Linked DNA regions of Nothobranchius furzeri. The protein of the gene in region 1 binds, or shares a complex with, the protein of each later gene. Links are inferred from orthologs where the notes say so. Each region holds a gene or a part of one and is shown in the gene's direction. Other genes may lie near its edges. The genes, in order: snrpf, prpf6 and cwc27.

Region 1 (3,753 bases):
CGTTGTTGTTGTGATTGTTGTCATTCTGGTAACTTTGATCGCTTTTATGTAATTTTGTGTCTCTTTGTGGTCGTTTTGCTGATTTTATTGGTCTTTTAGAATAAATTGTAGTTTTCTTTTCATTGTTTGTTACTAATTTAAATGATTTTTATTTCATAACTTCTAATCTTTGTGACCATTTGGTGAAAATGTCATCTTTTTTATTTTATAGCCTCGTAAGACTAATTTTGCTATTTTAAAATCATATTTAATTAATAAATAATTTCCCTTTTGTTTTTGGTTGCTTTGCACGAGTTACTTTCTTGTGACTACAGTTTTTGCAACACTGCAAATTTATTTGTGTCTCTTCATCATTTTGCAGCTCTAAATACGTTTTTAAACACATGAAAAATATATTATGCTTTCTTTATCGGTTCAGTCGGTCTGTCTGTCTGTAACAGATTTTATTACGCCTCATGCCAACAGTAGTTCTCATACAACTCATGCACCCTCTGACTGGCCACTTCTCTAAACCTCGCGTACCGTCTCCATCCCATAACTGAGACCAGACTGTCTGATGGACGGGTTAATTACACGTTGGAAAGGTGAGGTCGGGAAAATACTCAGTGATGTAAAGAAACAAGTATTTCAAACATGCAGAGAGAGATCCAGAGCAATTTCATAGGAATTTTTCTGACAAAACCCAGCCATTTGCTGAATGAAGTCAGATTTCGGTTTTATTCACCATGGCAGGTTTGAACTTGCCTGACTTTTTGGTAACAGACAAACGCTTCAGAGCAGAAAACATTTTTTAAACATCGGGCTTCTTGTGCCTGGAGAAAAACAAAGCTGCAGAGAGCAAGCATGACCCAGTTATGACAGTCGTGCCAGGTTTAGCTCCTAAACCGATATGTTTTCAATCAGTCACTGATCCTGCATGACATAAATAGAGCAGGAGTTCAACTCAAGGCAGATGACATGATCTTGTTGCTGAGAATGAAAACGAGTTTGAAGAAAATTATTACTAGTTTTTCCTGGACTTAATAACTGATTTTTTTTGCCATTTTCTTTTGTGAATGTAGAGGAGATACAACTTTTTGGACTGGACTTTATTTCTGTATCGTGCCACGAACATATAGCAGATACTCTATAAACAACTGACATATCAACCCCAGAGATCGTGCATACATATTGTAGGTGTTTAATTCACGTTTCGTTTATCAGCTCACAGTTTACTGTTCAATGGGTGACTGTAAATGAGAGGAAGAGGGGAAACTTTTGGAGCTTTACACTAAATCACTTGGGTAGCAGTTCGCTCATCCGGCCACTGGGAGGCGCTGTTTAAAGCACGGAGACTCGTGCCCAGGTCGGAAAGTTGTACTTCCGGTCGGCGGTAAAGCGTGCTTCGTGGTTTGCAAACGTTATCGAGACGAACATATTTTACTTTTTTGATTTAGCTTATTAAAGCTGTTTAATTTGATATAAAATGGTGAGTAAGACGTTGTATATCTTTATCGTCTTGCGAATGAACTATCAGGATTTAATTCAGTGTATTTTTGTTGTTTAGCGTTAGCCATGTTAGCTTTTCATTCATAACTTCGACCTAGACCTTTCACACCCTCAAACACATATTAACACAAAACTGGTGTTATAAATCTTCGGTTTCTTATTCCCTTTGGGTTGTAAGCCGTCTACTCGTTCATCACTGTTAATAAACAAGAGAAAAGACCGCAGAGGCTACATCAACCGCTAGCATCCCCTCGCTTCCTGGCAAAATAAAGTCCAAACTATTTCGCTAAGATCGTTTATCAAAAGCTTCCATAAGGAAATGAATATATATTAATAATATGTCTCTCGACCTTTAGCTATTTAATCTTTATAATGTGAGCTAACTCCTCAGGCCTTTAAGTCCACGGTGTCCTGTAGCTAGCCTTAAGAGAGATGATCGGTTTAAAACAAGCGACTCAGAATGAGCTAAGAGCATCTTTGGTGTGTGCTTGCTGTGTTGAAATTCTAATTCCATCTTTTAGTTATTTTTAAAACACAGAAAGGTTTTATTTGCCTGCAACGTTTCGTTTGCGGCTGCAAACTTCGTCAGGCTGACGCTGCAGGTAAATAAAACAGCAGTAAAGCATTTAAACCTTTTTATTAAACCACCTGACCCGGATTAACCTTTGTGTTATGGGAGAACATATTAAAATTTAATAGTGATTGAACAAAATAATGCAATTTAAAGAAAAATAACACTATTAGGATTTAACAGCTTGTTTTATTACACAGATCAGTTGCGCTGATTCATTAAACGTTTTTTATGAATAAAATTAGATTGGTTAAACAGCTGTTTGGCCATTAAGTAATTCATTAGTAAAGTCAATAAAAATGATTTACTTTGCAGTAGATTTAAAGTTTGGATTCTACGCAAAAACGTTTAATTGAATCCGGATTTCCTTCATGTTGGAGTGAGGAGTATCTGTGTTGTAGGACGGACGGCTGGGGGTACGCTGCTGTTCAGCAGCGTTACAAATTCATGAAATGTAGTCGTTAAATGCATTTAATTTTCTTCAGTAGTGTGGGATGTAATGGCTTTGCTGACCTCTGTTCTTCTTCTACAGAGTTTACCTCTGAACCCGAAGCCTTTCCTGAACGGCCTGACGGGAAAACCTGTGATGGTGAAGCTGAAGTGGGGTATGGAGTATAAAGGCTACTTGGTGTCTGTGGATGGATACATGAACATGCAGGTGGGTGCCGTTTCTCCTCCTAACAACCAAACCACAGAATCTTCTCACATGGAAAAATAAACCATTTAATTATTTGTATACCTGCTCAGGATTTGCTACTGCTTGATGATTTTATTGTGTGGTTTTATCTGTGTCAGACTTCTTTATTATCATAAATTTGGTTAAGCCAAATCAAAATAAATGATAAAATTAAATTTGTACCCCAGGAAAATTCAGCTCTTTAGACCCATCATCCTGCTTGTTTTCTATGTTTCTTTGCTTCAACACACCTGATTTGAGTCATTAGGCGAATAATGAGCTGCTTCAGAAGAATTAAGCTATTGAATCAGGTGTGTTGGAGCAGGTAAGGAACTAAAACATGCAGAACCAGGGCTCACTGATGTTCTTTAATCAGTTCAACTTCAGATCATAGTCAGACTGCTGAAAGGTGTTTATCTTCGTGTCCAGCAGGGGGCGTTGTTTGATCAGTTTGAGGGAATTTTTGCTAAAGAGACTGAAGTGAATAAAGTCATGGCTCCAAAATGTCTAAGGAAACTTCATGTAATTATAATTTTACTTATTAATATTAACAAAGCAGCCTATTTATCCTTCAGCAGCAGTAAAATACAAATGTTCCCAAAGCAGGGTGTGTTTTCAAATGTTTGCATGTATATTTGGGAACAATATCTAGGATATGCACCCAGTTGTCAGCGAAATGCAAATCAGTTCAACAGCAGTTGATGAAGTTCTAACAGCTTTTTAAAAGTCTAATCCATAAACCTCCACTGGAAAGAATATAGATGCAGGAATTAGGCCTGCAGCTATCGAATATTTTTGTAATCGAGTACTCTATCAAATCTTTTATCGATTAATCGAGTACTCTATCAAATCTTTTATCGATTAATCGAGTACTCTAATAAATGACCCTTTTGTGTTTGTAAACCATTATATCAAATAGCATGTTATAAAATATGAAAGACCTCTTAAAATGAGTACGCTATTGCCAGTTATTCTTCAAGTTTTATTCAAAATCAGTTTGCAAAACTTCAGCACTTCA
Region 2 (3,753 bases), on another chromosome or scaffold:
GGGGGAAAAATGTGGTGTTAATATTGGCCTGTATCAGGAATGACTTTCCATTTATCATCCTGACATCGACCTTGATCAGCTATCTGTAGGTCAGCTTTGAGATAAACACACACATGATATGTGGCTCTTTCCTTTAGTCATATATAAATGTGCATTTTATTGTGTTCTAATTATTCAATCAAAACAAAATCATCATTTAAAGACTCACAAGGACATAAAACACACTGATGGGAGGAAATGCAGTTTGAATTAAGCTTCATATTTAAATCTGTCCTTGTACATGTGAACCACCTAGCATCTAATCCATCTGACGGTCAATTTTCTTCCCTAACATCCTCTCCCACGGGTAAAATAACACCATCCCTTCAGGCGATGTAAATGAAGAAAGATGTAGAGGCTGGATCCCAGGCTAGGAGTGAAGACGGCTGAAGTTAATGCGATTGAAACTAATTGATGAATGGTTTCACATCATCTCATGAGATAGATCCCAAAAATGTCATGTTAGCATGTAATTACTTATTGCACTCTGGCATCTCTGTTTGAGTGTAGGTTTCTGAACCTGAAATGTCAGATGAGTTATTGATGTAGCATGTTGGCATGTGTCTAATGGGAATTAATGGAAATCATCACAAATGCATGGCTCATTTGACCTAAAACTATGTACATTACAAGCAATATAATATATGTGCAGTCAGACAGGCAAGGAGTGAAAATATTGTATTCAATTTTCAAACAGCATAAAAAATGATGTATTTCTTTCAATTTGGCAACCTAATTATCTGTGGGATCAAATGTCATCTGAGTCATCCTTGTCTTAATTAGGGCTGCAGGTCCATTAGTTGTTTCTGTAAACAATGTCTAGGTAATAATTTTTTACTAAACAAACTAGAGAGGAAATGACAACAGTATGTATGAGTATTTATCTTACTCTACCCTACCTCCACTTCAAACTCTAACCCAGGACTGCCAACGTAGGAGTGAGACAGCTTTTCTTTTTTTTTTTTTTTTTTTTTTTTTTAATGAACCAGATACTGATGAGGCATTCTGCATTAGGCCAGTCAAAAATGACCGTTCTCAGTTTTGCACAACTTGAGGTGGTTCATTTAGGATGGATGAAGATACTATGATTTATCTAGTTTTTCTTTTTATATCTTAAAATTGAGTATAAATAAATATCACGTGTGTGTGTGTGTGTGTGTGTGTGTGTGTGTGTGTGTGTGTGTGTGTGTTTATGTTGTATATAAACATTGTATATATGCATGTATATAAGTATATATTTTTCCCTCATTGTACTATTTTAGACAATTGTGTTTTGGTGTTTAGAGTAGCATATCCTAAAAGATAAATACTATTTACTCAGTTTAACTTTATTCCATCTAATTGTATTTTTATTTTATTTTCTACAGTTTGGCGCACCCGTGTGGCAAACTTTAGCGGTCAATCAATCAGCCCGTCCTGTTGGGGGCGCTGTAACAGAAAACAAGAAAAAGGAAGGAGTCGAGAGCGGAAGTTAAACTGTTGTTCATCTGCTAGTGAGTGTGCACGTCGTTGCAGCAACGATGGCTACCTCTGGAGCAAAACAAACACCTAAACTTGTCTCCAAAACCAGCGCGGGGGGCACAGGGGCGAGTGGCGCGCCCCCTGTAATACCTCTTGCCTCTCCGCTTATGGGGAAAAAGAAGAAGCCGTTTCTGGGGATGCCCGCTCCGCTAGGTTACGTTCCTGGTCTCGGCAGAGGGTAAGCTAATTTGATGCTAAGTCGTTAGCTCCTCCAGTTGCGTGTTTGTTGACAACTTGAATTGTCCACCTTCTGCATGCAGTGTCAAATAAAACAACATTTTAAATACATTATAACAATGGTTTGTGCTGTTTGCAACAAAGGACAAATCTCCGATCTTAAGGGTTATGTTGCGGTTTCAGTGCCACAGGATTCACCACCCGGTCCGACATCGGTCCTGCTCGGGATGCCAACGACCCCGTGGATGATCGGCATGCTCCCCCAGGGAAGAGGACGGTTGGTGACCAGATGAAGAAGAATCAGGATGATGATGACGAAGATCTAAACGACACCAACTATGACGAGGTCTCAATAACTAAATGCTTTTGTTGGCATTTAATACTTCAGTGCATCCAGTCAATAACTCCTGTTTGCTCCTTGTACAGTTTAATGGTTACGCTGGCAGCTTGTTCTCCAGTGGGCCTTATGAAAAGGACGATGAAGAAGCAGATGCTATATATGCGGCACTTGACAAGAGAATGGATGAACGGCGCAAAGAAAGAAGGTAAACTATAAAACTAATCTACCTCTTGACCAAAAAAGACCAAACACCTACAAAATAAGTGCACAGAGCATCCCTTTTTCATCCCTGTGTTGATTTAATGTGTTTCTGATACTGTCTGTGGTTGCTCGTAGGGAGCTGAGAGAAAAGGAAGAAATAGAAAAATATCGTATGGAGCGTCCTAAAATCCAACAGCAGTTCTCAGATCTGAAGGTAAGTTTTCCACATTTATTCTATTGTATTCACGATGCCATTATTTTTAGGTATCTATCTTTAATGCATTTTGTGCAGGTTAACAGCTGACTCTGCATACTGATTTGTTTGCATTCATGTTTTTGTGCTTTTAAACAAATTTGTGATCTTATTTGCCATTTGTGAAATGGTAATGCAAAGGCACATGAAATTACAATTATTAATCTCTCTTAGGATCAGACACGCATCTCTGTTTTATCATTTAATTACAGAGAAAACTAGCAGAGGTGTCGGAGGAGGAGTGGCTGAGCATCCCTGAAGTTGGAGATGCCAGGAACAAGCGACAGAGGAATCCTCGCTTTGAGAAGCTCACCCCGGTCCCTGACAGCTTCTTCTCTAAACACCTGCAGACCGGAGAAAACCACACATCTGTTGATCCGTTACAAGGGGTTAGTAGTCATGAAAACACACTACAAGCAGGTCACCGAACATTTGTTGTAGTTTCACCTTGCCCCAGCAGGAGTCAGAATAACTGTTCAGAGATGTGCAGCCATGCATTATATTGTCAGTAAATATCTGCTTAAGAGCATCAACCTCATGTTTAAACTTGAAACTATTCATTTATCTACTTGATTTCATGCATGCAATGTTTAAATACTTTAACTGGAAACAGCAGTGTTTACTTAGACAGAGCTGGCTCCATGTTTAGTTCTGCAGAATATAAAGCATCTTTTACGTGTGTCAGTTATAGCTGTGAGAAAGGATTCAGCTTTCTTTAGCTGTTCACACACGCTGTAACACAATTCCTGCTTTCTGTCTTGGTAGCTGGGCGGTCTGAACACACCATACCCAGGCAGCATGACTCCTGGAACTGGAGACTTGGATATGAGGAAAATCGGTCAAGCCAGAAACACTCTCATGGATATGAGGCTCAGTCAGGTAGACCTATCTAAATCCTGAGCTTCTTTCACATTTATCAAGATTTTACCTGTTTTTATTGTTTTTCTCTCCACTAAGGTGTCTGATTCAGTCAGTGGACAGACAGTGGTGGATCCTAAGGGTTACCTGACAGATCTCAACTCCATGATCCCCACTTATGGAGGAGACATCAGGTATAGAAAAGTTGCCCATAGGAAAATTTCCTTTTGAAATAACTTCTTATGTGTGTTTGATGAATTACACCTAAATCTCACCCAGCGACATCAAGAAGGCTCGCCTGCTGTTGAAATCTGTGAGAGAGACTAATCCCCATCACCCGCCGGCCTGGATTGCTTCTGCCAGG
Region 3 (3,753 bases), on another chromosome or scaffold:
GTTAGCTGACTTCCGAGGACTCGCGATAGGGAATGGTGGGTCGCTTAGGGACTATCAACAAATTTGTAGTCCTTTGTAAACGAGTACAAAATTGTTTTTAAACTTCCAGAATAATTTCCTAAATGACTCAAAATTACTTCTGACATGTGTTACTAAACTACATTTACAAGACACAACAGTTTTAACACATTTCACTCAATCTGATCTTTTTTATTAGGATTTTATTTCAAAATTAAGGGACTTATAGCGAGTCCTCGGAAATCAGCACATCGCTGTGCTCAGTGCACGGCATAAAGACTTATCGCTAACAGTGTAAACCAATGTCTGTCAAATATCCAACGTCCAAGTTCAAGCTAACTTTACCGCGGTATTTTTCTCCACTTACTTCGAACACACCAAGTGTGTGATAACGTCTCTATGCATGTAGCTCCGTTCGTACATGGCAGCTGATGGGAGGTTATCCAGGTAGACTCGCTCGTATTCTAGGACTGAAGAAATAACCGAACCAGAATTAGCGGGATTTACTGAAAAGTGGATTCGCGCAAACCATTGTGGTAAATTCAGTGTCATTAACCCACCTCTTCGTTTCTTTGTCTTTGATGCTTCATTTGGCATGGGTCCAACCCAGTCTGTACTTTCATCATTTCCATCTTCATCTTGAACATCATCAGCTTTTCGTTTTAACTCCAAACTGTTTTCAACCTCCGCCATTGCTGCACAGCGTCGTGTGGTCCTTTCGTAATTACGGCACTTCCGCTGCGCTCTGAATTTAATTTTGCTCCGTCAGAAACTTAGCGAAATTTATTAGAGATTGTAAATTTTTAAGTAATATTTTAGAATGCACCCTAAATTATAAAACTGGATTATATTTTCGTATTTTAAGTGTAATAGAAGCTTAATGCGGAACTTGTTATTATGCTTTGTTTCTATGGGCCTATTAACGCTGAACATCGTGTGGATTCAACCATTTTCACTTTTAGGGGCTGAGCCTGCGATTGTTTTTGATGTTATGTTGTCGTTAGCGGTTTAGCTGGTTGTTATGAACGTGAAAAAATATTTTCAAAATGAAAACATATAAACATCTTAAATAATTATCATAAACAGCAGAGTATACTAAATAAAAAAGAGTAGTACATCAGGATTCCCCCGTGTTCTCTGAAGTAAACACTGCACTAGCATGGCTGTTGGAGGATAAGTGTGAAATTTGCAACATTCGGGAAAAGTACAAGCAGTTATCAGGATTACTAACCGTTTATCTATTATACATTTTACGTGAGTTGAAGGTATAAAGGTGTTAAAGATTAGAATTTCGTTTTTTTTTCGAAGCACATAAGCAGATTCACCTTCAAAATGAGTAACATATATATCCAGGAACCTCCAACAAGTGGAAAGGTGAGTGCCTTCCTATCTTTTTATTTTGTCTGTATTTACATTAAGAACATGCAGTGTAGCTTTTCCTTGTAAAGTTTATACACATTTCGTTGAAACCAGCTAGTTGTTGATATGTTACCAGCTAGTTGTTGATATGTTGCTAGTAGGAGGTGAACGCGTGTGCCATAGAAGTAGCGGGATGGTAGGAGAAGTTAGCCTGGCAAGCGAGACAAAATAAATATATTATTTGCTTTGCAAACTTCTGTGCAAAAAAAAAAAAACTTTGCAAAGAAAGATTTTGGTCTAGTTCACTAGGCTAGGGAGAAGTAGTTTTATATGTAGATATGTTTTGCTGTGCTGCTTTTCAGGTGCTGATGAAGACCTCAGCAGGGGAAATTGACATCGAGCTGTGGTCCAAGGAGACTCCTAAAGCATGCAGGAACTTTGTGCAGCTGTGCATGGAAGGTAAGGTAGACCGTGCTGTTAAAAAACGGTCCGTGGAGGAAAAATCTGAAATTCAGAAGTTGTGGATGATGCATTCCAAAAAAATACAAGTATCCATATGTACATATTGATATTTACTGCAGTACAGATATCAGTGAACCTCATGTATGTTAAAGGGGGTATATTATCCATTCATCCATCCATCCATTTTCGGCTGCTTATCCGGGGTCGGGTTGTGGGTGCAGCAGTAGGCCCAGACTTCCCTCTCCCCAGCCACTAAGGCCAGCTTCTCCAGGGGAATCCTAGGGAGTTACCTGGCCAGGTGAATGACATTGTCCCTCCAGCATTTCCTGGGTCTTGCTTTAGGTCTTCTCCCGGTTGGACATGCCCGGAAAACCTCACCAGGGAGGTGTCCAGGAGGCATCTTAACTAGATCCTCCTCAACTGGTTCCTCTTGATGTGCAGGAGCAGCAGGTCTGCTCCGAGCCCCTCCCAGATGATCAAGCTCCTCACCCTATCTCTAAGGAAGAGCCCAGCCACCCTGCAGAGAAAACTCATTTAGGGCGCTTTTATCTCCAATCTCATTCTTTCGGTCACTACCCAAAGCTGAAAAGATAAAAACACTTAGTTTTAGTGTCAGTTCATGACCCAGCTCATCTTTCTCAAACAGGAAGCTACGTTTTTAAAACCTTTGTTTTGGCGTCAGACTCCGGCTGCAGGTCTCCTTTTCTCGTCTTCCAGCTAAACAGCGGAGCTGTCAGCTGGTCATTCATCCTTCTCCTCCTTTATACACAAGAACCCACTAAACTACAGAGAAGTAACAATCTGTCACAGATCGCTGCTATATAACTTTTGCCGTGAATTCTGTTTCAATGCTCCGCAGATCCGCTCCATGTGACAGCTCACACCCGCTGTCACAGAGCTTCCTCTGTCCACAATTTATCTGATGGTCTAAAAAAGGTAGTTTAATTATTTTAGTATAACTCTGGTTTAACTTGTTCTATTAACAGAAATAAAAACTGGTGGGTATTGAAACTGAAGCTCAGAGAGGCGGAGTCTTGCTGCTGCGGCGTCCCAAAAGGTGTGTTTTCATTGGTCGGTTGCAGACAGGAGTCCCAGGTTTTCAAGCATGCTTGAAGACTTTTTTAAGCTGATTTGGTCGTGAGACGGCTCAAAAAGTTGTCGCAGAGCCGGCCACACTGTATTTTTTTTTGTCACGATTCTGCTCAGGACTAGGAATTTGGCAAAGACAGCCGAAAATCATACAGTGTGATCTGGGCGTAAGGGTATAAAGCTGGTCCAGTAGGCACATTTTGTCAGAGTGGGCATGGGCGGAGTTTCACTGTCTCTCAGAGAGACGAGACGCTGGACGCTCTCCTGAGCCGACAACCCGCTCCTGCAGCTGTCGCTTCTGTCACGTTGGGCGAACCATCGGACACGCCACTCGTCACAGATGAAGCTGAACATTCACCTCTCCCTTCAGTAAGACAAGCAGTAAGTGTAGCAACACAGTGTTCTCCAAATATACAATATCTGAAAAAATGATTAAAGTTGTTTTACTGAATATCCTAATCATCTATGAAGCACACGACAGCTCTGGATGCTAAAATTCTCCTAAACAATTCATAATTGAATAAGTTTGACCACGCGACAGCTTACCGTTAACTTCTGCGGACAAAAATATGAGCTCTTAACAACAAACACTCTCCCTTTCGGTTCCCATGGAGACGCATTTGCAGCACACACACCACTGCTTTTGTCCTGCTCTCGCTTCATCCCGCCCTTCTTGCTCTTCATTTTGATGCTCGTTTTGTGAAACATAATCAGTGATGTCATCATTAATGTTTCGCTCTGGTTCAAATAGAAAAGGCTGAACAGACGACATGTCGATGTCGCTTAACAGTCACTACAGGGTCCCAAAGCCGGCCGGTGCAACCG

What was found.
Region 2: snrpf (region 1) and prpf6 share a complex: the UniProt entries of both Homo sapiens proteins name them as parts of the U4/U6-U5 tri-snRNP complex. The link is inferred for Nothobranchius furzeri from reciprocal best matches to the Homo sapiens genes SNRPF and PRPF6.
Region 3: snrpf (region 1) and cwc27 share a complex: the UniProt entries of both Homo sapiens proteins name them as parts of the minor spliceosome. The link is inferred for Nothobranchius furzeri from reciprocal best matches to the Homo sapiens genes SNRPF and CWC27.

The regions. Positions count from the first base shown.
Region 1 is NC_091741.1:34,923,507-34,927,259, reverse strand, and holds the start of snrpf (small nuclear ribonucleoprotein F), read left to right. Parts: upstream 1-1,328; 5' UTR 1,329-1,465; coding exon 1,466-1,468; intron 1,469-2,591; coding exon 2,592-2,717; intron 2,718-3,753. UniProt on the Homo sapiens protein: Plays a role in pre-mRNA splicing as a core component of the spliceosomal U1, U2, U4 and U5 small nuclear ribonucleoproteins (snRNPs), the building blocks of the spliceosome.
Region 2 is NC_091755.1:59,889,511-59,893,263, forward strand, and holds the start of prpf6 (pre-mRNA-processing factor 6), read left to right. Parts: upstream 1-1,504; 5' UTR 1,505-1,559; coding exon 1,560-1,738; intron 1,739-1,920; coding exon 1,921-2,083; intron 2,084-2,163; coding exon 2,164-2,282; intron 2,283-2,413; coding exon 2,414-2,492; intron 2,493-2,743; coding exon 2,744-2,920; intron 2,921-3,296; coding exon 3,297-3,410; intron 3,411-3,488; coding exon 3,489-3,583; intron 3,584-3,668; coding exon 3,669-3,753. UniProt on the Homo sapiens protein: Involved in pre-mRNA splicing as component of the U4/U6-U5 tri-snRNP complex, one of the building blocks of the spliceosome.
Region 3 is NC_091746.1:63,257,187-63,260,939, reverse strand, and holds the start of cwc27 (spliceosome-associated protein CWC27 homolog), read left to right. Parts: upstream 1-1,039; 5' UTR 1,040-1,350; coding exon 1,351-1,392; intron 1,393-1,739; coding exon 1,740-1,836; intron 1,837-3,753. Other genes in the region: ppwd1 (peptidylprolyl isomerase domain and WD repeat-containing protein 1), read right to left, coding at 386-488, 579-711. UniProt on the Homo sapiens protein: As part of the spliceosome, plays a role in pre-mRNA splicing. Probable inactive PPIase with no peptidyl-prolyl cis-trans isomerase activity. As a component of the minor spliceosome, involved in the splicing of U12-type introns in pre-mRNAs.